Linked DNA regions of Elephas maximus indicus. The protein of the gene in region 1 binds, or shares a complex with, the protein of each later gene. Links are inferred from orthologs where the notes say so. Each region holds a gene or a part of one and is shown on either strand. Other genes may lie near its edges. The genes, in order: APLNR and APLN.

The links.
Region 2: the proteins of APLNR (region 1) and APLN are in contact, whole or in part, in a cryo-EM structure (PDB 8XZG), measured with the Homo sapiens proteins. The link is inferred for Elephas maximus indicus from reciprocal best matches to the Homo sapiens genes APLNR and APLN. Residues at the interface, in NP_005152.1 of Homo sapiens: Tyr35, Phe78, Trp85, Tyr88, Thr89, Tyr93, Ser106, Ile109, Phe110, Met113, Pro163, Val164, Arg168, Gln180, Cys181, Tyr182, Met183, Tyr185, Glu194, Glu198, Leu201, Gly202, Ser205, Tyr264, Lys268, Tyr271, Ser275, Cys281, Asp284, Leu285; in NP_059109.3 of Homo sapiens: Arg66, Pro67, Arg68, Leu69, Ser70, His71, Lys72, Gly73, Pro74, Met75, Pro76, Phe77.

The regions. Positions count from the first base shown.
Region 1 is NC_064825.1:118,643,324-118,654,907, reverse strand, and holds APLNR (apelin receptor), read left to right. Parts: upstream 1-6,892; 5' UTR 6,893-7,179; coding exon 7,180-8,322; 3' UTR 8,323-10,581; downstream 10,582-11,584. UniProt on the Homo sapiens protein: G protein-coupled receptor for peptide hormones apelin (APLN) and apelin receptor early endogenous ligand (APELA/ELA), that plays a role in the regulation of normal cardiovascular function and fluid homeostasis.
Region 2 is NC_064846.1:26,785,885-26,797,998, forward strand, and holds the start of APLN (apelin), read left to right. Parts: upstream 1-7,545; 5' UTR 7,546-7,625; coding exon 7,626-7,692; intron 7,693-12,114. UniProt on the Homo sapiens protein: Peptide hormone that functions as endogenous ligand for the G-protein-coupled apelin receptor (APLNR/APJ), that plays a role in cadiovascular homeostasis. Functions as a balanced agonist activating both G(i) protein pathway and beta-arrestin pathway of APLNR.

The DNA.
Region 1 (11,584 bases):
ATGCACCATTTCTGAAGGATTTTGTGAAATACTGATGCTGGCTCCCTGTTACCTCCTCTCCTCCAAGACTACCTTCTAGGTCCTAGAACCTCAGCTTGAGAGTCAATGGCTTTAAGGAAGTTTAGGAGTCTCTCCAGTTCTAAGTCATAGGAAGCTACTCCCTAACCCAGGTGGTCTTAACAAAGGCCCTGACTGCTTCTGAGGCTATAGGAACCGTGGTCCTACTGGCTCGGGCCAAGCAATTCCCATGTATTTATTAGAGGTCTGCTACGTATAGAAGGGAGCCCTGGTGGTGCAGTGGTTGAGAGCTATGGCTACTAACCAAAAGGTTGGCAGTTGGAATCCACGAGCCACTCCTTGGAAACCCTATGAGGCAGCTCTACTTTGTCCTGTAGTGTTGCTATGAGTTGGAATCGACTTGATGGCAACAAATTTTTTTTCTTAAAAAATGTATTGAAGAGTCTCTGGGGGGTGCAAATGTTTAAGCACTCGACTACTAACACAAAGGTTGGTGGTTTGAACCTACCCAGAGGTGCTTTGGAAGTAAGGCCTACAGATCTGTTTTCAAAAGGTCACAGCCTTGAAAACCCTATGGAGCAAAGTTTTACTCTGCAACCCATGGGGTTGCCATGAGTCAGAATTGCCTCTTTGGCAACTGGTTTGATTTTGGTTGGTGCTATGGATAGAGTCCTGTGTTAAATAATGGGGGAATAGGTGGGTGATGGTGGATGAGTGGGAGAGAGGGGGTCGGTGAGAGATAAAGAAAGGCTTCCAGATCCCTGTTGTTTGAGGTCTAACAAATAACCTGCGGTCACAGTGGGGAAAATGGATCCCATCTATCCATCGCACTGCTCTACCGAGAGGCTCTGTTTGGCCTCTTTAGTAAGAAAATCACTTCTCCAACCACTTCCGGCAGCCACTGCTACCATTCCCAGAATCACAGGAAGCTAGACCTGCCTGGTCCAACCTCATGTACAGATGGGGATACTGAGGCTCAGAGAGGGCAAGAGCCTTGCCCTGGGGGTCACATAGGAAAACTGGCCATTCAGGTCTTAGCTAGAAGGCCAGCAACCTCAAGAGGCCTTCCTGGTCTACCCTATCTAAGATACTCCTTCCATTTATTTTGTCTCATCACCCAGTTTAACTTTCTTGGTGGTGATTATCACTGGGTTCTTCACATTTTTTCCTGATGTCTGTGTTCTCCTCTCTTCCCCATGTCTAGACTGTACACTTGGGAGACTGTGGCACGGTCAGAATTGTTCACACTGTGTGCCTAGTGCCTGCAACAGGGTCTGGTACATAGCAGCTGCTCAATAAGTATTTGCTGAGTGAAGGGATTAGCAGCCAAGATGGGATCAGAACTGAAGATTCCTGTCTCCGGGGCCAGTGGGTTTTCCTGCCTTCACTGTTAGAGCCCAGGGCTCTATTGCCTGGGAGTCTGCAGGTGTGCCAAATGGCCGGGCAATCAGGGGTTGCTGGGTATGGTGTGTTGTCTGTCTGTTTTAATCGTCAGAGTGCAGCTGGCCATTTGTTTTTGGTTAGATAAGCTGCTAAAGTAGGACGTGTGTGAGAGAGCCTGTGTGTGTGTCTATAAAGCTGGGATGCGAGGGGGGTTATGTGTCTGGAGAGAGGGAGAGGGAATTCCCGAGTGTGGGATTGGGCTGCCAAACTTCGTTTTGCCTGTGTCCCTGCCCTCCCTCCCCTTTCCCTCAGACAACACCACCAGCTGTTAGGGACACAGCTGTGGCCTCATGGGAAGGAGGGGAGAGGGCCCTGTTACCCTGGTGAGGTCTGAAGCTGCTGAGTTCAAAGCAGACCTGTGAAGTGAGGGGGATGGAGCAGAGAGCTAGAGGGAGGAGGTGAGAAGTTAGCGAGGGGCAGCAAATGGCAACCTTTCCACTTTGATGTCCACAGCCCAGAGCTTCTGGCAAGGTCTGGGTGAGGGCCCAGGCAGAGGAGTTCAGCTGTTCTCCCTTCATCCCAAACCCTCAGCAAGATCCAATTAACCACCCCTTCCTGGCCTCCAAGAAAGATGTTTATCCTGATCCCTGACCACCCTACACATGGGTCAGCACATGAATGCATGGACCCAGCGCTCACGCTCCCATATACATACAGGTGCAGGCACAAGTAGACGTCATGCCCAGCAACCACATGGTGTGTCTCCACACACACATACACACAGGAATGCATGCACACCTGTACTCACAGGGTGCACACAGCTGCACACAGCCACCAGCACAGGGCCCAGCCAGTCCCAGTGTTCCAGGCCAGGGACAAAATGTGCAGGGAGGGGGTGGTGAGTGGGGGGAGGACTAGAGTCGCTGACTCCAGGGGCCTCCAGCAGTCTGGGCTCTCTTCAAAGAACCCTGTGGCAAGTCTGGGCACTGTCCTGCCAGGAGCTGTTCATCTCAGTCTCATGACAGCACCCTGGAGAAATCACCCAGGAGAGAGAGAAGTCCTTGAGGAATCTCACTCTGCCCTCTCTAGGGCAGACCAGCTGGGGACTGGGCCCAGCAGTCCTGCCTTAGCTACTGGTTTGCCAAATGGCTCAGCATGGAGGATTCGGGTGAACTTTAGCAAAACGGTACCCTTGTTAATGCAGCAGAGTAGCCCTGGGGTGAGACCCATCCTCCTGAGTGAATTTCTATTGCTTTAATTCAACAGACATTAACCAGGTGCCAAGCTGAGGGGGTTGCAGAAATGAGAAGCAGGGAGTCTCTGTTCCCCAGGACTTGCTGTCTAGTAGAGGGCTAACTTCGGTGCCCTGGGGGCGCACAGGGTCAGCCTCCAGCTACTGGCCCTACGAGTCTTTCATATTCTGTGTTGGATGGTCCGCCATGAGAAAGGGACAGATCAAGACAGGACTTCGAGAATCAGGCTGGGTGAAGAGAGGCTGGGTGATTTTGCATATGTGGCTGCCATTCCTGGGGGCATGTCTACAATCTGGCTCCAGCCAGCTGTGACAAGGGGCTGGATCTTATCAACACTCTACCCACCCTCCCCACCCTTGGCCCCAATCAGTGGCCCCCTCCTAGGCCTGGCCCCCAATTCCCTCCCCTTTCAGTGAGTCTCTTTCCCAGATTCCTTGGGTGAGATTAACTCCTTCTTTACCCCCTCTGGGGCAAAGAACTCAGAGGCCAGAGGATTAAAGAGTTGAATCCCTATCCTTTCCCACAGGGTCTCCAGGCTCCCATCTGGCTCAGATTCCAAGTGGGAGCAGCTGGGGGAGGGGGGTTAGGGAAATGGGGCCTGATTGCCGGGACACTAAGCTTGTTTTCTCTCCTCCCCGTTCCTAGCAGCAAAGGGAGGGGTACCTGCATTTTCCTGGGAGACCCAGGGAAGGTCTGAGAACATGGAGAGACTCAAATTTGGCCTTAATCCATCATCCGTATTCATAACAGGGCCACCTATTGTGACCTGACCTGGGCCCAAGAGTCCTGCACCATGCTTAGGTCCCTTTTGGTAAATAAAGGCAGTCGCTAAAGAAGCCTGACATGGCAGAAGGTTAACCATTTCTACCCAATTTGGCACTCAAGTGATAATGAAGGCCATTCTGCCACCTGCGCAGATGTCTATTAGCCAGACATACAGGAGCAGACAGCCCCCCAACAGTTCCTTTGTGTGTCCTGGGAGAGCAGCGAGGCTCCAGCTCTTGGTCCTATTGGGTGTCCCCAGCACCATTTTGCAGACCTTGCAGCTGGCACCGGGCAACCAGAAACCCCAGGATGCTGACCCTAAAGGCGCAGATCATAGCCTAGCAGGATTTTTATACTTTGTTCGTTCCAGGCTGGGGACCGTCCTTAAAATATTTTAGTCAATCTACTCTTTCTTCTTTTTTCATTGTGGTAAATATATAGGAAGAAAACATTTGACTTTTCAATAATCTTCACACATACAGTTCACTAACATTATGTTCATCATGCTGTCCAACCATCACCATTCCTGAATTTTTCCATCATCCTTAACAGAAGCTCAGTGTCACTTAAGCATTGTGTCTTCCTTTCCCCTTCCCTCCTGCCCGCGCGTGGGAACCACTAATAGACTTTGGTCTCTATACACGCGCCTATTCTAGATATCTCATATAAACGGGATCATACAATATTTGTCTGTTTGTGACTGACTTATTTCACTCAGCATGTCTTCAAGATAGTCAATCTATTTTTAACTTCATCCCCTCCCCCCCCAAAAAAACACCAAACCTGTTGCCGTTGAGTCAATTTTGACTCATAGCGACCCTACAGGACAGAGTAGAACTGCCCCAAGACAGCTTATTTTAAAGAAAATTACAGTTATCCTAGTATAGTCCTACATTTCTATATTGCTTAACAGATCCCAAACTCCCAAATGTTAAAAAGGGTTGGAATTTTTTCTTTGGGGGGGATAGTAGTACGGTCTATGAGCTCAAGACAGCCTTGGCTCAAATTCTGGCTCTGTCAGTTACGAGCTGGGTGACCTTGGCCAAGTTACTTCCGCTTCTTGTGCTTCAGTTTCCTTATCTGTAAAGGGAAGCTAATGAAAGTATCTACCCTGTAGTACTGTTGTGGAAACTCTGGTGGGGTAGTGGTTAAGAGCTACGAGATAGTATAAAAAACCTACTGCTGTCGAGTTGATTCCAACTCATAGTGACCCTATAGGACAGAGTAGAACTGCCCCATAGAGTTTCCAAGTCTGTAAATCTTTAAAGAAGCAGACTGCCACATCTTTCTCTCATGGAGAGGCTGGTGGGTTCAAACTGCTGACCTTTTGGTTAGCAGCCGAGTGCTTTAACGTGGGCTCCTTAAAAGAGATAATAAATGTGTATAAAATGCATAGAACGTTCGGAAGAATGCCTAGCGCTCAGTACTGTAATCCTCAAGAGAAACACCAACATGGTAATCATTCCACATTCCTGTAGAGTAAAGGTCATCCAGGGCCCTCAGGCTCTGTCTTATTTTCCTCTCCAGCCTCCACTCCTGTATCTCCCTGTGCACCCTAAGGCTTCTGTCCTGTTTGCGTTCATTTCTCTGTCTCCTAACTCACTTTACATCCCTTCCTCCTGGTCTAGCCTCCCTGTTGTTCTCCCACCTTCTGTTCTTGGCAAGCTCCTACTCAAACAGCATCAACTGGGAACCCAAGGATGTGTTCAACTTGTTTGTTTTTAAATGGAAGTAATTCTCTAAATTTACAAATCAGGACATTTCTCATAAAAAAAAATCCAGAATTTGAAATTCCCCTGAAAAGTGAAAAAAGATAGGTGTAGTAATGCTAGGTTCCACATTTCCACATGGCAACCAGAGACTGGAGCTGAGAAGCTCTTCTCTTGTGGACTGTGCATGCTCTGGTTTGCCAGAATGTCCACCACTCCCTCTCCTCTCAAACTGACTGCTTTACCCATAGACACATTCGGCCTGGCTCCTGTAGGTATTTGAGTTTGGGACTCCTGCTTTAAAACCCCTGCAGAGGATTTCTGACCAACCCTCCCTCCAGACAGCGGATTCTAGCATGGAAGCCTTTTGCCTTGGATGTAGACTCATCTCCTGATTTTGGTCTCCCTCACTCCTGTTTAACTTTAGGTAGCCTCCCCTACTTTGGGGTTGGTGGAAAGAATGTTTACCTTACCTTATTCTTCCAGCTCTCTTCCCTGGCCACAGGTCCTGAAGAGGTGACCAGACAGGGCAAAATGAATTTCTATAGGACGGTGCCCATGGCAGCTGCTCAGTGGCTGCCCCATTCCTTGCTTCCTCCTCTAGCTGCAACTTCCTGCCCCTACAGGGACTTATATAGACCTCCTGGTCCAAGGAGGGCAGAAAAACCAGGCAAGGCATGTAAGAGCCTGAGGACGGAAATGTATCCCAGCTTTTATCACATGGTGATTCATACACTCATTCCCCTAATTCGTCCATCTGCTCACTCACTCAACAACCATCTACAGATCACCTATTATATGCCAGGCACTGTGTTAGGTACAAGAAGCCTTGGTGGCATGGTGGTTAAGAGTTTGGCTGCTAACCAAAAGGTTGACAGTTCGAATCTACCAGGCCCTCCTTGGAAACCTTATGGGGCAGCTCTACTCTGTCTTATAGGGTTGCAATCGACTTTGAAAGCTTTTTAAATGGCTTTAACCGTGGGTAAGACATTTACCTTGTGAGTCTCAGTTTCCCCATAGATTTAATGACTCAGTGAAAGATCCTTTTGTTTGGGGTTTCTTTAGGCCTGTGAGTCTGTCCCGGACCCTCTAAAATTTTCTATGCAATCAGCAAACTGCGATCTGCCAGCAGTTTATGAATTCTAGAGCAATCCCTGTTTCATCATGTCTGCAAACCACAAAGCTTATGGAAAGAGCGTCAGGGCTGAGGGGTACAGCAGACGGCATGATGGAGAGAATGGGAAGAGGGTCCCAGAGAGAAGCTTGGTCTGGGTGGGGGATGGGGGTGCAGGGGGTGGGGAGTGGAGGGGACAGACTCCTACCAGGTGGGCTTGCCAAAAGCTGGGACCATCCAGCGAAATCTCACACCCTCCTCCCCCCACCTCCCCGGCTCCAGCTCAGGCTGGATTTCCATCTGCATAATTTGCTGCATATAGAGTGGATGGGAGGGAGTGAGAACAGGGAAGTGGAGAGAACTGAGGCGGGGGGTGCCCCAAAAGGTAGGCAGAGACAGTGTACAGAGGAAATCCCGGGGGCTGGGACACAGGCTGGGGGGAAGGTGGGTGGCAGTTAGAGGGAGGAGGGAGGGCCAGGAGGAGAGCAGCAGGCTGCAAGCCCCAGATAACATTCTGCCTAGTACAGCAGGGGTCAATTTGGTCCACTTTGCCCAGTGACAAGAAGGAAAAAAACAAGTGGGCTGTAACTTAGAGATCTTAAGACTCACAAGTGAGGGGTTGGTCTGGAGGTGGGAGGAGGGAGTGGCAAGTCAAGAAGAGACAGACTCAGGAGGGTGCAAGGAAGTCTCTTGGCTGGGCTGGAGGCACGGGAGGGTGGAGGGAAGCCTGCAGATGGGAGCATCATCAGGGGTCCCGGCAATTGAGAAGGAGCTCCTCCTGCCTCAGGGAAGGGCTCTGTCCACTCAGAGGCACCTTCAGCCCTTTCCCTCTCTCTGAGGCTCCAGCTAGAAGCTCAGCGTGCTTGCTGAGTAGGTGACACAGCCCCGGAACTGGTACCCCCAGAGTCCCCTGCCTGTCTTCTCTCCACTCCCCAGCATGGAGGAAGGGGGTGATTTCGACAACTACTATGGGGCGGACAACCAGTCCGAGTGCGAGTACACGGACTGGAAGTCCTCTGGGGCCCTCATCCCTGCCATCTACATCCTGGTCTTCCTTCTGGGCACCACGGGCAACGGCCTGGTCCTCTGGACCGTGTTTCGGAGCAGCCGGGAGAAGAGGCGCTCGGCTGACATCTTCATCGCCAGCCTGGCAGTGGCTGACCTGACCTTCGTGGTGACCCTGCCACTGTGGGCCACCTACACCTACCAGGACTACCACTGGCCCTTTGGCACTTTCGCCTGCAAGCTGAGCAGCTACCTCATCTTTGTCAACATGTATGCCAGTGTTTTCTGCCTCACCGGCCTCAGCTTTGACCGCTACCTGGCCATCGTGAGGCCCGTAGCCAATGCACGGCTGAGGTTGCGGGTCAGCGGGGCTGTGGCCACGGCTGTTCTGTGGGTGCTGGCCGCCCTCTTGGCCATGCCGGTCATGGTCTTCCGCTCCACCGACAACCTGGAGAACAACACGAAGGTGCAGTGCTACATGGACTACTCCTTGGTGGCCACCTCGAGCTCAGAGTGGGCCTGGGAGGTGGGCCTGGGAGTCTCGTCCACTGCCGTGGGCTTCGTGGTGCCCTTCATCATCATGCTGACCTGCTACTTCTTCATCGCCCAAACCATCGCCAGCCACTTCCGCAAGGAGCGCATCGAGGGCTTGCGGAAGCGGCGCCGGCTGCTCAGTATCATCGTGGTGCTGGTGGTCACCTTCGCTCTGTGCTGGATGCCTTACCACCTGGTGAAGACGCTCTACATGCTGGGCAGCCTGGTGCACTGGCCCTGCGACTTCGACCTCTTCCTCATGAACGTCTTCCCCTACTGCACCTGCATCAGCTACGTCAACAGCTGCCTCAACCCCTTCCTCTACGCCTTCTTCGATCCTCGCTTCCGCAAGACCTGCACCTCCATGCTCTGCTGGGGCCACGGCAGGTGTAGGGGCACCTCCCACAGCAGCAGCGGGGAGAAGTCGGCTAGCTACTCCTCGGGGCACAGCCAGGGGCCCAGCCCCAACCTGGGGAAGGGCGGGGAGCAGGCGCAAGAGAAGTCCATCCCCTACAGCCAGGAGACTCTTGTGGTTGACTAGGGCTGGGATCCCGGAGCAGCCCGAGCTGTCTGCCCTGCCTCAGCCTTTGCCCTTGCTCTCTGAAAATCAGGTAGAGTGACCGAGCCTTCCTTCTTGCCCTTCACTCCTTTGCTTTCTCCCTGCACCCCACCTCCATCTGGCCCTTCTCTTACTAAGTTACACTCTTCCCAGAGGTTTGGGTTATAGTGGAGGGAGACTGAACCTGCAGACTCATGCTTAGTTCCTCTAAGACTGACCTCGCATGCCCTCTTAACCTCTCTGAGCCTCAGTTTCTCCATTTGTAAAAAGTGGAGGTAGTAATACTGATCTTAAAATATTGATGTGGGAGTCCTTGGCTCCATAAAAGTTAGCTTCCCTCCATTCCTTTTCTTGGTCTCCACTATTTTCTCTTTTTGGTTTTCCCTTACCTCTTCCTTTCTTTCTCTGCAATCTTCACTCTCGGTCCCTACCTTCTGGCTCTGACCGCCTCTCCATGAGCTTGTCCCCATCCCTCAGTCTCTCCTACTCTCCTTATTACTTCTTCCTTTTGAAGGCTTCTAAGGGTTAAGAACCCAGAAGCTTATAAGCTCTTTATTCTGTTCCCAGAGAGAGTTGGAGAATGGACTGCAGCAGGTGTGGGCAGCGTGCCAGCTGGGAGCTCCAGAACTTTCCCTAAAATTGGATCAATTTGGTGTCATTTCAGACTGAGGGCTAGAGGAATATCCAGCTCCTTCCCAGAAAGGCTAAGATGCCAGTTAGATATGCCTTCTGCAAATTTCCTGGGACTCTTTCATTTATCCTCTGTAGGGATTGGAAGGCAATGGGGCTGATGAAGCTATGGGCTCCTTGGTTTCATTGTAAGAACGAGGAGTTGGGTAGGGAGAAGGAAAAGGAGAGAAAGTGAGCTAAATGATTGTCTGGGTTTAGTCTATATGCTGCTTGGTTCTCCTCCCCAAATCCTGGTCCCTCTGAACCTCCTTCAGACTGCTAGCTGTGGGTCTATCCCCTGACTCCCCACCTCAATCCAACACCCTGGGCTGGTTTACATGGGCAGTGGTGCCTCTTGGTACCAAGAGTCAATTTGGTTGGGGTGGGGATGCTTGCTCTTTGTGTGTATATATAAGCATGGCTATTCATAACCTGAAGAGCAATGTACCTGTGTCGCTTGGATAAACCTCCTCCCACTCCTCACTCTCCACCTCATCTCTCCTCTTTGCACAATATCCTTGAGGGAGAAGGGACAAATAGGATAAAACGGAGTCCACTCCCCACTGGATTTGGGGGCTCTAACGGCTGGTCCGTGCATTAAGACAGAAGTCTGTGTTTGCACCCGAGTCCCTACTGGGAGGTTTCTCGCAGCACAGTCTGGTGGCCAAGTCTTGGGGAATTCCTATGAGCTGGGTTCCTGTTCATTCCGTAATTCTATGAGGGAAATAAGAGACTGGTTAAAAACTTCCCTGGCCCCTTTCCCTTGCCTCCCCACCTTGCTTTGAACTTATGAGCATTTCCTTACTCACTCTCCCTTTCCCAGGATTGGTGGCCCTATTCCTAAGGAGGCCATGGGATAATAGGCACTGGGTGAGTTTGGGCTTACCGTTGGGGTGGGGCCCCTCGGCTTCTCCTGCTGAGTTGGGGGCTGGGAACAGGGGCTGGGCAGCAGTGGTGGGGCTGATGGATGACATCCGTGCTGCCAGAGAAACCTTGAGGAAGAAACTGATGTTGGACCCTTTGTGAGATGGGGGCGGGGTGTATATTCCGGGTTTTGTTCTTGGAAGACTCTGGACACAAAGGACAAGACAAGAGCCACGGAGGCAGGAAGAGCCCAGCTTGATGTGACCGTCCGTCCCTGGGAGAGCCAGGAAGAGAGGGGAAGGGGTTCCTCTCGGCATAGTCTACCCCATCACAGACTAGAATCTTCCACAGACTCTCTTACTCTGCCCAGGGCTGTCCTCAAAATATCAGTTAGGGCAGGAGGAAGTTTCTAGAAGGGAAGAAAGTACCCCTCTGGGGCCCTCCTGGGTGACTTACAGAGACTTCCTGCCTGGAACTCGGGGGAGGGGGGTGCTGGGGAGAGAAGGTAGGGAACGCTGCCTGCTGGGACACTCCCTCGTCTCCCCACCTCCTGCCCCTTCTTCACCGTGTCTGTGCTATTTTCTGACCCTGTTAGTCATTGTGGTTCATTAAATAAAACTGTTTTATCAAACTATTGTGTCCAGAGCCTCCTCTCACAAAAGTCTATTGGGAAAGGAAAGCACCCCCAGTTCGCAAATGCCACAGCGGGGTGGTGGTGGGGTGAGAATGGTTGGGGGGAGAAGTGGGAGCCAGAAGGAGGGAGTGAAGTGGGAAACTGGAAGAGAAGTGAGAGGGGGCGAGAAGGTGGAGGAAATGGACACTGGGAAAGGGAACGGATAGGGAGCCAATTGAGGAGGGCAAAGGAATAAAGGACTAAGGAGTGGCTGTTTTATGTTCTGAAAAACCACAGAATAAACCCCTGTGCTTGGAGTCCAGAGCACAGGCCTGGGGAAAAATTCCAACATTTTTCCCTTTGGGTAGACCTATCAGTTTTATCATTCATTCATTACTTCATTCATTTGTTTCTTTGTTCATTTATCATCCCCTATTGATTTATTGATTCATTCAAGGCCTCTGGGTGGCACAAACAGTTTGCTTTTGGTACTAACCTAAGAATTGGTGGTTTGAATCCACCCAGTGGTGTCACGGAAGAAAGGCCTGGTAATCTGCTTCTGTAAAGATTATAATCAAGAAAACCTTGTGGGGCAATTGTACTCTAACACATGGGGTTGCCATGCGTTGGATCTGACTTGAGAGCAATGGGTTTGGTTTGGGTATTGATTCATTCATTCATTAATTTAGTATCGAGTGAGCACCCACCCAATTTAGACCAGAAGTTCGAATCCCTGCTCTTCCATAACAGTCATCCTGGATGTTTTGAAAAATTAAAAAAAAAAATACCCACTCCCGATGTCATTCCAGAAGTTTGGAATGAGAACCCCCTGTTCTGGACCCAGATAATCTCCATGACACAAAGCCCCATCCAAGGATTTGTGGGAGAGGCTAAATTTGGGAACATCACTATCCAGATGGATTCTGCCCAAATGAAAATGGACACAAGAAACTAGAGGGTCAAAGCCAGAGAGAACTGGACCCTGAATGGTGACCTCTTTGGAGCAGGAAGGGGCTGCAGTGACCCCTGGGGGGAATATGTTCAGTCCAGAGGTGTTTCCATCTTCAAGAAAGACTAACACATGCAGCTGGCACGAAG
Region 2 (12,114 bases), on another chromosome or scaffold:
GATGTGACTGGAGGCAGCGAGGTGTAGTGGATTGAATGACGATTCCCAAAATGAATGGTAGGTCCATGTCCTAATGCTCAGAACCTATGAGTGTGACCTTATTTGGATAAAAGGCCTATGCAGTTGTAATTGAGTTAAGGATCTCAAGATGGGTTCCTCTTGTATTATCCAGGTGAGCTCTAAATCCAGTGACAAATGTCCCTATAAGAGACAGAGGAGGAGAAGACACAGAGGAGGCCATGCGAAGATGGAAGCAGAGATTGAAGTGGTGCAGCCACAAGCCAAAGGATGCCTGGAGCCACCAGGAGCTGGAAGAGGAGCCACCAGAAGCTGACAGAGATGTGGCCCTGCCAGCGCCTTGATCTCGGCCTAGTGAAACTGATTTCGGACTTTTGGCACTAAGATAATAAACTTCCGTTCCTTTAAGCCACCAAGTTTGTGGTGATTTGGTATAGCAGCCGTAGGAAACCAATACATGAGTTTTGCTGTAAAATGGCTACTTTTCTCTTCCTTTTTTTTAATGCAAAAGCATTACCTTTTTAAGGTTAGTATTTGACTCCATCTTTGTGTGTTTGGGAAAACTATGAAAGATGAAAAGTGGCAACCCAAGATCTCAGTATGTAGCCAGAGCTAGGATCCAAGTGGTGATCAGGCGTAGGCACCAGTTTCAGGGGTATAAATTTGAATTTGAAATGGAGCAAAGCTGACGCAGATCATCTCTCTGACCTTGACCTCATTATCTCAGAACTTTCAACTCATAACTTAACCGGTCATAGACTCAACACCTAGTCCCCAACAGTCTTTGCCCTGGCTCAGCACACCAAGGTGCCAGATTGGGGCTTGTATGATATCGCACCTGATGTAAGCCGGATAACACTGGCCAGCAAAGCAAGAGGAAGCAAGTTCAATGGCCCCCTGGAACTTGGAGATAAACCTGTTCCTTCGGGAGTGCTAGCCAAGCTCCCAGGGCTCTGCTGCCTGAGGAAGGAATTAGCCTGCCTCCCCTGGGGGAGCAGTGTGTATTTATAGACCCTAGAAGAGAGGAAGGATGGAGGCTCCTGGGAGACGTCATAGAGGATGTGCAGAGGAAATGAAACTGCTCTGAAATACAAACGGGAGGAACAGGGACCTGTGTGGCTTTGAGAGAGGCCCAAGGATCAGAAGGAATTAGGCAGGATGCAGGGAAAAAGTGGCAACTCTGTGGGGGCTGGGCTGGGGGTGCAGGCGGAAAAGAAATTCTTCTCCTTCTTGGAGGAACCCTCTTAGGGCCTAGCCAACTAGTGAGCAGTGGCCTCGGAGACATAGCTGATTACCTGAATTCCACTGGCATCGTGTTTTTAATGAACATGGTTTTTGCGTCAAGTGAGATGTATCTGTGGGAACCGCTGATGTCTCTTAAATATACAGTGAAACCTGGGTAAGCCAGAACCCGTGTAAGGCGGAAGCCTGTCAGAGAAGGAAATCTCAAATATTTTCCAGTAATAGAGAGTGAGAGAAAAGTGGTAAGACTGCACCCTGTCAAAGGCAGAAAACTTGCGAGACCCAGAAAAACAAGGCAGTCTCGCCAAGTTCCAGCTGTCACTGGTTTCATTGTATAAGCAAACCTGAGAAACGGAAGTAGTTTGCAAAGAAGTTGGAAGAAAAACATTTAAGTGGAGGAACCATTTCTGGGACATTCGGGGCCTGTTTGAGAGTGGCCACAAAGCTGCTCCGTGGAAAGGATTAGGAGGCAGTAGGAGGACCTAGATGTAGCATTAGACAGCACGGATGTGAATAGAGGTGGTGTTGTTGTGCTGCAAAAGGGCTACTTCTCTAATTTTTGCGAAAGTGGTGCCTTTTAATGGTTAGTATTTGACTCTGTGTGCTCGGGGTCGCTATGAGTCGGAATCAACTCGACGGCACTGGGTTTGGTTTGTTGTTTTGGTTGCTTGGGAAAAAGGACAAGTGTGAAAGACAAGACAGTAAGAACCCAGGAAGATCTCTGTCTGTGGCCAAGGTTTGGACCCAGCTGGTGATCAGAATTAAGGGACATTAGACAGCAAGCCAGCGGCCCTGGTGATGCAGTGGTTAAGTGCTCGGCTGCGCATCGAAAGGTTGGTGGTTTAAACCCACCAGCCTCTCTGTGGATGGAGAAAGATGTGGTGATCTGCCTCCGTAAAGATTACAGCTTTGGAAACTCTATGGGGCAGTTCTACTCTGTCCTATAGGGTTGCTAAGAGTTGGAATTGACTTGATAACAATGGGTTTCATTTGGTTTTTTGGTTAGGCACCACCAGGCAGAGGGGAAAATCATACAGTTTGCTGAAGAAGAAACTCTAGCAAAGTCCACCAACCACCAAGTTATTTCCTCCAAGTGGTGATTAGGGTCTTTTGATTCATATACTGCAGTTCCAGGTTATGGTCCACGTAATTAACATCATGTTCTCTGATTAAAATGGTCTCACATCAAAAATGGAATGTTAATCCATGAATAGGCCATAAGCCTTTACCCTATGGAGAAAATGGAGAAAAAATTGAAGTTGTCAAAGATTTCATTTCACTTGGATCAACAATCAACACCCATTGAAGCAGCAGTCAAGAAATCAAATGACGTATTGCACTGGGCGAATCTGCTGCAAGACCTCTTTAGAGTGTTAAAAAGCAAAAATGTCACTTTGATCACTAAGTTGTGCCTGACCCAAGCCATGGTTTTTTCAACTGCCACATATGGATGCAAAAGCTGGACAACAAAAAAAGAAGACAGAAGAAGAATTGATGCATTTGAATTGTGGTGTGGTGAAGAATAAACCATGGACTGCCAGAAGAACGAACAAATCAGACTTAGGAGAAATAAAACCAGAATGCTCCTTAGAAGCAAGGATGGCGAAACTTTGTCTTGCTTACCTTGGACTTGCCATCAGGAAAGACCAATTCCAAAAAAGGACATCATGTTTGGTAGAGAGTCAGTGAAAATGAGGGAAACTCTTAATGAGGCGGATTGGCACAATAGCCACAATAATGGACTCAAACATGTCAAAGAGCATGAAGATGGCACAGGACCTGGCAACATTTCGTTCTGTTATACGTAAGGTAGCCACGAGACAGAGCTGCCTCGACGGCAACTAAGAACAAACAACAACTCTGCCCAGCACTGTGCTGGCTGTTACACAAGTTAAAAGCTCAACTCTAGTCAATGGAATCAGAAAGACAAACACTTAGTAACGAGACAGTGAAAACTCATGTTCTCTGCTGGCGCGTAGCTGAGCAAAGGTAATTTGTCATGGAGCTAGTCAGGGGGACGTCAGCTAGCAGCTGGCTTCTTAGGCTTTTTTCTTTCCCCCAGGTTCCTAATAAGTAATTCCAGAGACAGGGAAAGCTTTGAGGCTCTTCTTAAATACTTTTTACAAGCCTTGAGCATTACGCTCTTTTAAGAACTATCTATGTGGATTCAAATTGACAACAACGGCAACTCCTGAAAGATTAGATAGAAAACTTAGAGGGCAGTGAGTTTATGTTAATGGCTGAGGAACATCTCAGAAAAGGATGAGAATGGTTGCACAACTCTAAGAATGTAATCAATGTCACTGAATTGTACATGTAGAAACTGTTGGAGTACGTTTTGCTGTGTATATTCTCAATGACGACGAAATATAAATAAAATTATTTTTTAAAAAACCAACTTTTTACCAGTGTCGCTGCTACTGAACTTCATTGCCCATTAATTTAGCTTCTGTCTTAGGGAACAAATTGGATGAGCGACATTGGAAAAGCAGCCCTTCCTCCTTATGAGGTGCTCAGAAGGGCTGGGTTCGTGGAATGAGGGTCCTGGGCCTGACCACAGCCGTTTGGGCGCCTTTGCAGCCAGCTGGGAGACTGCTCAGCCAGTAAGCGGTAGCTCCATGGCAGGAAGGCAGTGTGGCACGGAGTGAGAAACAGGAGAATGGAGTGAATTAGACCTGGATTCCGGTCTTGACTTTGCCACCAGCTTTATATGTAACCTTGGGCAAGTCACTTTTCTCCGTCTCAGTTTCTCCATCTGCACAATGAGGGGGTTGGAGCTCTTTCTGTTATGAAATGTTTCTGATTGCACCCCACTTTTTGCATTACTCTGGAAACTCTGGCAGTGTCGCGGTTAAGAGCTATGGCTGCTAATCAAAAGGTTGGTAGTTCGAATCCACTAGGTGCTCCTTGGAAACCAAATGGGGCAGTTCTACTCTGTCCTATAGGGTTGCTATGAGTTGGAATCGACTCCAAAGCAATGGATTTTCGGTTTTGCGTTACTCCAGTCAAAATAACCACTACAGAAGGAGCTTCTTGGATCAAGCAGACACTTGTGACTATGTTGGCATCTCCTATCCTATCTGTAGGGGAGATGAGACAGCAGAGGGGGCCGGAAGCTGGCGGAATGGACATGAAAAGAGAGAGTGGAGGGAAGGAGCAGACTGTCTCATTAGGGGGAGAGCAATTAGGAGTATATAGCAAGGTGTACATAAATTTTTGTATGAGAGACTGACTTGATCTGTAAACTTTCACTTAAAGCACAATAAAAATTAAAAAAAAAAACCAGTACACAATTGGAGGGGTGGGGGGGGGAGACTTCTTTGTATATTTCTGCTAATTGTTGGTGTTGACCCACCTAAAAATCTGTTGGATGAGTTGTGATGATTTTTTCCAAAATCGGATAGTTTTATATGTATCGTAAGCCTAGAGTGATTGTTAATATGACTACACAATTCTTTGTTTCAGTCAATGAACATTTATTATTGAATATCTGCTCTGGGCAAAAGCACTGCTACTGAGAATACAAAAATGAATAAGACATAGTCTTACCATCTGATAAAGTCGGTAAGACATATACACAAATATCTACAAGAATATATCACATTTATACAGTGCTTATTTTTTTATCTTACCATGAGAACCAAGCACCCTGCCAAGTATTTTATAAGTATTAATTCATTTAATTCTTCCAATAACCCAGGGAGCTAGACTCTATCCTATTATTTAGATGAGGAACCTAAGGCTTAAATAGAAAGGATAATTTGCCCAAAGTTACTCATTTAGTAAATGTTGTTGTTGCTGGGTGCCATTGAGTCAATTCTGACTCACAGTGACCCCGTGTGACGGAGTGGAACTGCCCCATAGGGTTCCCTAGGCTCTCATCTTTACAGAAGCAGGTCACCAGGTTTTTTTCTCTTGCGGAGCTGCTGGTAGGTTTGAACCGCCAACCTTTTCGTTTGCAGCTGAGCGCTTTAACCACTGTGCCACCAGGGCTCCTTAGTGATACAGCTGCCTTATTCCAGAACCCATGAGTTGAACCACTTTGGTTCACTGCTTCCTAACGTAATTTAAGACCGAATGAATTAGGTGTTACAAAAGTAAATAAAGATACATGTGGGCCCAGAAAAAACCCTGTTGCTGTCAAGTGGATTCCGATTCATAGCAACCGTATAGGACACAGTAGAACCGCCAAGTAGGGTTTCCAAGGAGTGGTTGGTGGATTCTAAATGCTGACCTTTTGGTTAGCAGCCACAGCTCTTAACCACTGGGCCACCAGGGCTCCATGAGGGCCCAGAGTAGTGAAAAATTGTTATTGAAGCTCATTGAGGAAAGAGTGTGGACTACCAGGTTAGGCAGATCTAGGAAAATTGCTTACCCTCCATTAGCCTCAGTTGCTTCTCTGTAAAGTGGGACAGTAAGGAACAGGACCTACCTCACAGGCGTGAGGATTACATACGCTAATGCATGTACAATAGTGCTTGACACATAGCACATGCTCAATAAATTTGAGGTCTCATCATTATCAGCATCATCATCATCTGTGGGGACAGGCAGAGAGGAATGGGCTGCGACAGGCTTGTGCTCTGAGGCTTCAGTTGGCTCAAAGTGCCGCATTAGCCATAGCGGGGTAGGAAAAAGGCCACGTTGACCATTAACAATAACTCTATCTTATTCTCTTTCCACTACCTCGGTATAGGCAATAGGGATGTTCTTGAAAAGTTTATTCACATATTCAAGTTATTTACTGAGCACTGATACAAGTACTGGGGATACAGCTATGAACAAAACAAAGATCCCTCTCTAATGGAGCTGGCAATTCTGGTGGAGGGAGACGCATAATGAACAAATTGTGCACATACCAGACCCTTTTAAACATTTCAAAAAGTATTTTAAATATGCCATGGTCTCTCAAGTCTCTTACGGTGCACATAAACACGGTCCAAAGTATCTTTTGGGTTGATCTGGACTTGCACGTCAAGCAAACTGCCTGGTCGACTGAACAGAGGAAACACCTTGCGATGTAGTCTTTTAACATGTGTTGAGTGCCACCTATGTGCGGAGTCTGACATTGGGGACTTTGAAGAGAGCCAGAAGATTGAGAACATAAGGTCTTATCTTAGGGGGTTCCCAGTCCAGTACAGGAGTCCTTACTTTGGGACTTTCTCAGGCTGGAGAAGCTAACCGTCTAGTCCCGGGTAGGCACCCAAAGGCAAACGACTTCAGGACCTGCTTACAAAGGGGTATCCCAAATGTGTGCGAAACTAATGCAGCCTAGACTGTTTGGAGGTTGGTGGCCCCACGACGATGGGGAAGAAGAAGGGAGTGCCATAGGAGCTGTTGTTATGTCTAAACAGCGAGAAGAACCAGAGAGGCAGGCCCACCTGGATGACTGTTATCCTGGGAAGGCTTCTGGGGGAGACGGTATCGAGGTGCTCCAAGAATGAAGAGCTCAGGTGAAGGGCAGGGTGGGGTGGGGGCGGCTCTAAGGGGCTGTGGATAGTGGGAGAAATGGGGGGCGCTGATTAACTAATCAAGCCTTGAGCACAAGCATAAGCAGTCATCCCAACTCAAACCCCGTTGAAGATACAGGGGAGAAGAGGCCAGAGTGTGGGAGCCCTGGCCCAGCCCTTGCCGCTGGGGAGCAGCGCAGAGAAGGACCCCGGGTCGGGGTCGGAGGTGGAGGGAATGGGTGGGGGCATCCAGGGCTGAGTCCTTCCCTGAGCGCCCAGGTTTCCCGCCAGCTGTTGAAGAAGCGAGGTGAGAAAGGGTTAAGTGTGCCCCTCCACCGCGCCCCCTGCCCCCCCCCGCCCCAAATGCTTCCTGTGTTTGAAACCCTTCAAGTCTCGGCCAACCCTTTGGCCCTCGGCCAGGCGGGCATTGTCCGGGGAGCAGCGGCGCAGCCTTTGTGGCTGGGCCACCTCGGGGTTCCCGTTGGCGCCCGGGCCGGGCGGCCGCGTGCTTGCTGGGCAGGGGGCGGTGCGGGAGGCGCGCGCTCTCCCGCTTCCTGCCCCCCCACGCCAGCCCTCCCGATGACCACATGACCAAATGGGCGCGCGGCCAAGCCACACGCTACAAAATGCAGCCCCCGGAGTGAGCGGGAGCACTTGCGCTGGCAGCCTGGGCCGCGGGCAGTTGGCGCGGCGGGGAGCGGAGCAGCCCGGCCCTTGGAAAGAGCCCGCCGCGCCTCCGAGCCAGCTTCGCGGCGGGCGAGCGCGGCTGCGGGGGCGGGAGCGCGGCGGCGGCGAGCGGCGGGCAACGCGGCCCGGCGCGCGCTCACCCGGCTGGAGCCGCGAGCTCAGCGCCCAACTGCCCGCCCGCGCCGGCCTCTGCGCCCTGCCCTCTCCGGCCCGGGCCGCCGAGGCAGCATGGACCTGCGGCTGTGGGTGCAGACGCTCCTGTTGCTCTGGCTCGCACTGACCTCGGTGTGTGGAGGTGAGTGCGCGCCCGCGCCCCTCGCGGCCCCACGGCGCTGCGCACCCGCGCCCGCCCCCACCCCGCCTCCGGGCAGCCCGGCGCGAGCCGGCCGCGGCAGCCACGCGCCGCTGACTGACAGGGCGCCTGGGCCAGGCCGGCGCCGCGGGGAACAGCTTCCTCCCGGGCTCGGCTGGCTAAGGGCATCACCTGCCTTGCCGGGCCCCACCTGGCCGCCCGCCCCTCGCAGTCCAGGAACTCCGGGCCGCAGCTTGCGCCCCGCGCCCCTCAGGGATCAGTGGAGGGAAAGAACCGAAGCCGGGTAGGCTGGGCTCACAAGTTGGCGGTTTTCTGGCCCGTGGAGGTCAGGGTCTGCCGACTGGTCCAGGGACGCGGGCCACTCAAGATGCTGTGCCAACATGCAGACGTGACACTTGTTGCATAGGCCGGAGCTGGGCCGGCCAGGCTTCTCCTCCCTTAACCAAGGTCTGGCACAGGAGGCCTTCCCAAAGCTTCCACCGGCCCCAGGGACCAGCTCTTCAATATCCTGGCTCCGGCCTCCCCTTTACCCCGGGCACCGGCATGTTTTCCCTTAGTCCCCCTGTCTTCAGACACCAACCCAGGAAACAGAGTCAGCCTGGGCACCTCCATGCACCTCCTGCACCACGTCTCCCACCTGGCAATACTTGGCTCTGTGTTCCCTTGCAGGCCCCAAGCCTGCTCCCTAGCAGCCCCAGACCGGGTGGCTGGTTCCTCTCTGCGTCAATGTCTCCTGGGCTGCCAGCTCCCACCTCCAGCTGCCACAGTCCTGTGATCTGGCTGTCACTGCTGCTTGCTTGCCTGGCACCACAGAAGGGGAATCCAAGCTGAGGTGGGCTGGTGCTAGGTGCCAGTGCTGGAGTCACAGGGAGGTGGGAGCAGAGGGAAGAAGAGGGCAGGGCAGCAGTTTTCCTAGAGGAAGGGTGCAGGGCCCTGCTGAGTTCCAAACCCTCTAGAATAGGAGAATGGCCTGGCTTGGCCTCCTTCTCTTTGTAGTCAGCGGCCTTTCTTTGCTCTTGCCTTTTGGCACTGCCCTGGCAGTGGGAGCACTGTGACTTCTCTCAAAGGTGCATTGCTTGAGGCTGGCACCCTTTTGTCTTGGGTAACTGTCCAGTGGCCTTCCTCTTCAAGACCTAAGCACTGGGTCAGTCACCTTGGTAAGGAGGGAGCAGATTTTTCCTCAGAAACTCCTGTCAGGCAGGTCAGCCACCTCCTTGGTGAGAAGGGGGCAGACTTTTCCTCAGAAACTCCTGTCAAGCAGGCACTGGTGGGAAAAAACCAAAAGCTGTGAAGGAAGGACACGACACGAGCCTGCCCTCCAGGAGCCTACCGCCCAGTGTAGTTGGCAAGACAAGACACCCACGTGATACCACTAGCAGAGTCCAAGGTGGTGCCTTCTGGGAAGAAAGAGTGGGTGCAGAGAGGGCACCCCAGAAGAAGCTGGGGCATCTCCATCTGCACACTTGATGCTCTCACCAGAGGCTACAAGAGAGACCCTTAGCCAACAGACCACCACCTGAACCCTGTCAGGGTCCAACCATTGAGGCAATACTGGGAACGGGGAGAATATATTTCAAGGGGAGGGAAATTGGCCCGGCTGCCTGAGCCCTGTGTATGTCTGTCCCCAACCCCACCACTTCTTGTTGTAATTCCCCGTTACTCATTTCGTCACCTGTCTTTACACCTTGATTTGTGTAAATTCATTGCCTACATATTTTGCTTAAGTTTAGCACTGGAAATTTCCAAGGTTCCCACTGCCTTCTCTACCTCACCACTCCTGGAGTGGGGGACAGGCACCTCCCTGGTAAGTGGCCCCCAACCAAGGGTGCAGGTACACATGACCTGCTTTTCCTGCCTCCTGTCCTAGGTTAGAGCCAGGGATCCCAGAAACACTTTGTCCTTGACCCAGCCTGGCATGCTGTCCCCAGAAGAGTTCCAGGCCTGAATACCATGCTTCCTCCACTCCACACTCTGTCCTGACTTGGAATGCCCCTCCAACACTCTTCCACTGCCTCCTGACCTGAGATACACTTTGCTTTTCTGAGTCTGAGAGCTGCTGGGCCGGGGCCAAGTGTCCCTTTGTCTTTGAGCACCTTCCTCCCCTCGCCTCCTCCTCCCCTTCCCCAGCCCCAGCTTGAAGCCTGCAGTCACCTTGGTAGTGAGAGGACAGCTTACTGTACCCCCCCTCCCGCTCAGGGAGGGGGCATCTCCACTCATATCCCCAACTGCTAAGTACCCATGTAACCTGAGCCTGGCCTCTCACCAGCAAAGGACTCCACAGGCAAGTGGAGTGGAGAGGCTGCCAGAGCGATGCATCTGAGGGCAGCAAAGCTGGCGCGGGAGGATAGTTCAGGGCACCAGGCTGGAGGGCGAGGCGCACAAAGGGAGGGCACTGCATCCCAGAGACACACACAGTGCCACAGAGCAGTGGAGGGGCCCAGCCTGCATGGTCCCCACCAGAGCACACGTGGGGGCTTTTAAAGCCATCACAAGGCAAGCCAGACAGGGAAAGGAAAAACAGGTGCCTCGTTCCTGGTGAGGAAGATGGGTTCCTGAAAAGGTGCACGTAGCTCTTTGTGCGCTGGCCAGTTTGGAGTTCAAGTTTCGGGAAAATCATCCTAGTGCAGTGAAGTGTATCCCAGGTCAGGAGGCAGTGGAGGAGTGTTTCAAGTCAGGACAGAGGGTGGAGTGGAGGAAGCATCAGTGATGGTTCATCAAAGAGCAAGGAAGGGCTCAAGTCCCTCCAGGGTTGCAGTTCATTGGGAATTGCCCCAGCCTCCCTTTAAGTTAACAAATGTCTGTTGCCTTTAAATCTATTCCGACTTATAAGCTGGAAGAAAATATTGAAGTGGGCTGGGGATGGTGCCATTTCTAAAGGGGAATTCTTTTGTACAGCCAGGATCAACAGCCTCTAATTTGTCTGTTTGGACAGGAGAAAGCCAGGGTTTCAGGTGTCAGCTTATCTTCAGGTGAGCCAGACTCAGAACCAAAGGTAGCGAACAGATGGGTGGCGGAATCAGGGTGCTGGGGGTGCCTGCAGACTTCTGAACACGAGGAGGATGGTGAGGCCCCACCCATTGAGACAAAAGATGCCAGGGCCTTCAAAAGATTGGAGGAGCCAGTACAAATGATATTAGTACCAATCCGTCCTTGCCACAGGGCCTGAAACAGCATTTTTCCTCAACTGGGCCCAAGCCCATGCTCAGTGGCCCTTGCAAGAAGCCACAGTCCCACTGGCCTCCAACAGCAGTGTGGCCCCCTGAAAGTTCAGCCCCCAAAGTGCTGCGAGGGTGGGTAGCTAGGAGGGAACCAGGCCAGCCAGGGACCCCCAAAGGTTCAAGAAGTTGGGGAAGCAGGGCTTGAGGCTAGAAGAAGACAGGCCTAAGGGAGACAAATCACAGGTCCCTCTTGGGTGCTGAGCATATGGAGATGACACCCCCCCATGCCCCCTGTACCCATGGCGTCATAGCCGGTGCTATTGCCACACCCCCAGTAGTCGAGGGTGTGGAAGGGAGAACCAAGGCTTCTCTTACATTTTCAAGGCCTCTGTGGCCCTTCTGGAAACCCTGGTGGCATAGTGGTTAAGTGCTGTGGCTGCTAACCAAAAGGTCAGCAGTTCGAATCCACCAGGTGCTCCTTGGAAACTCTATGGGGCAGTTCTACTCTGTCTCATAGGGTTGCTATGAGTTGGAATTGACTCGATGGCAATGGGTTTGGTTTTTGGTTATGGTCCTTCTTGGTTGCGCAGTGGTTAAAAGCTTGGCTGCTAACCAAAAGGTCAGCAGTTTGAATCTACCAGACACTCCTCGGAAACCTGTGGGGCAGTTCTGCCCTGTCCTATAGGGCCACTATGAGTCGGAATCCACTCGACGGCAATGGGTTTGGAGGGTCCTTCCAAGGAACCCTGGTGATACAATGGTTAGGCGCATGGCTGCTAACTGTAAAGGTTGGCAGTTCAAAGCCATCCAGCGGCTCCATGAGAGAAGGACCTGGTGATCTGCTCCCTTAAAGGTTACAGCCTAGAAAACCCTATGGGGCAGTTCTACTCTGTCACATGGGGTCACCATGAGTTGGAATTGACTCAACGGCACCCAACAATAAGGGTCCTTCCGCTAAGCCTGGCCACACCCTCAGCACAGTCCTTACCACCCTGCATATTTCTCTGATACTGACTCCTCATCAGCCTCATTCCAGTCTACCCTCAGTAGATGGTACAGGCCTTCAGGGGGCCCTAAAACACAGGCCAGAAGCAGAAGCAGCTGGAGTGGGGGCTTAGTGAAGGCCTCGCCCCAGCCCCAGCCTCTTCTCAGAAGGCACAGAGAATAGTTCTATGACAGTCAGACAGAGCACCCCCTTGTCTCTGTCCATCACGACGGCTCTGAAGTGCTGATGTAATTTTTTGTT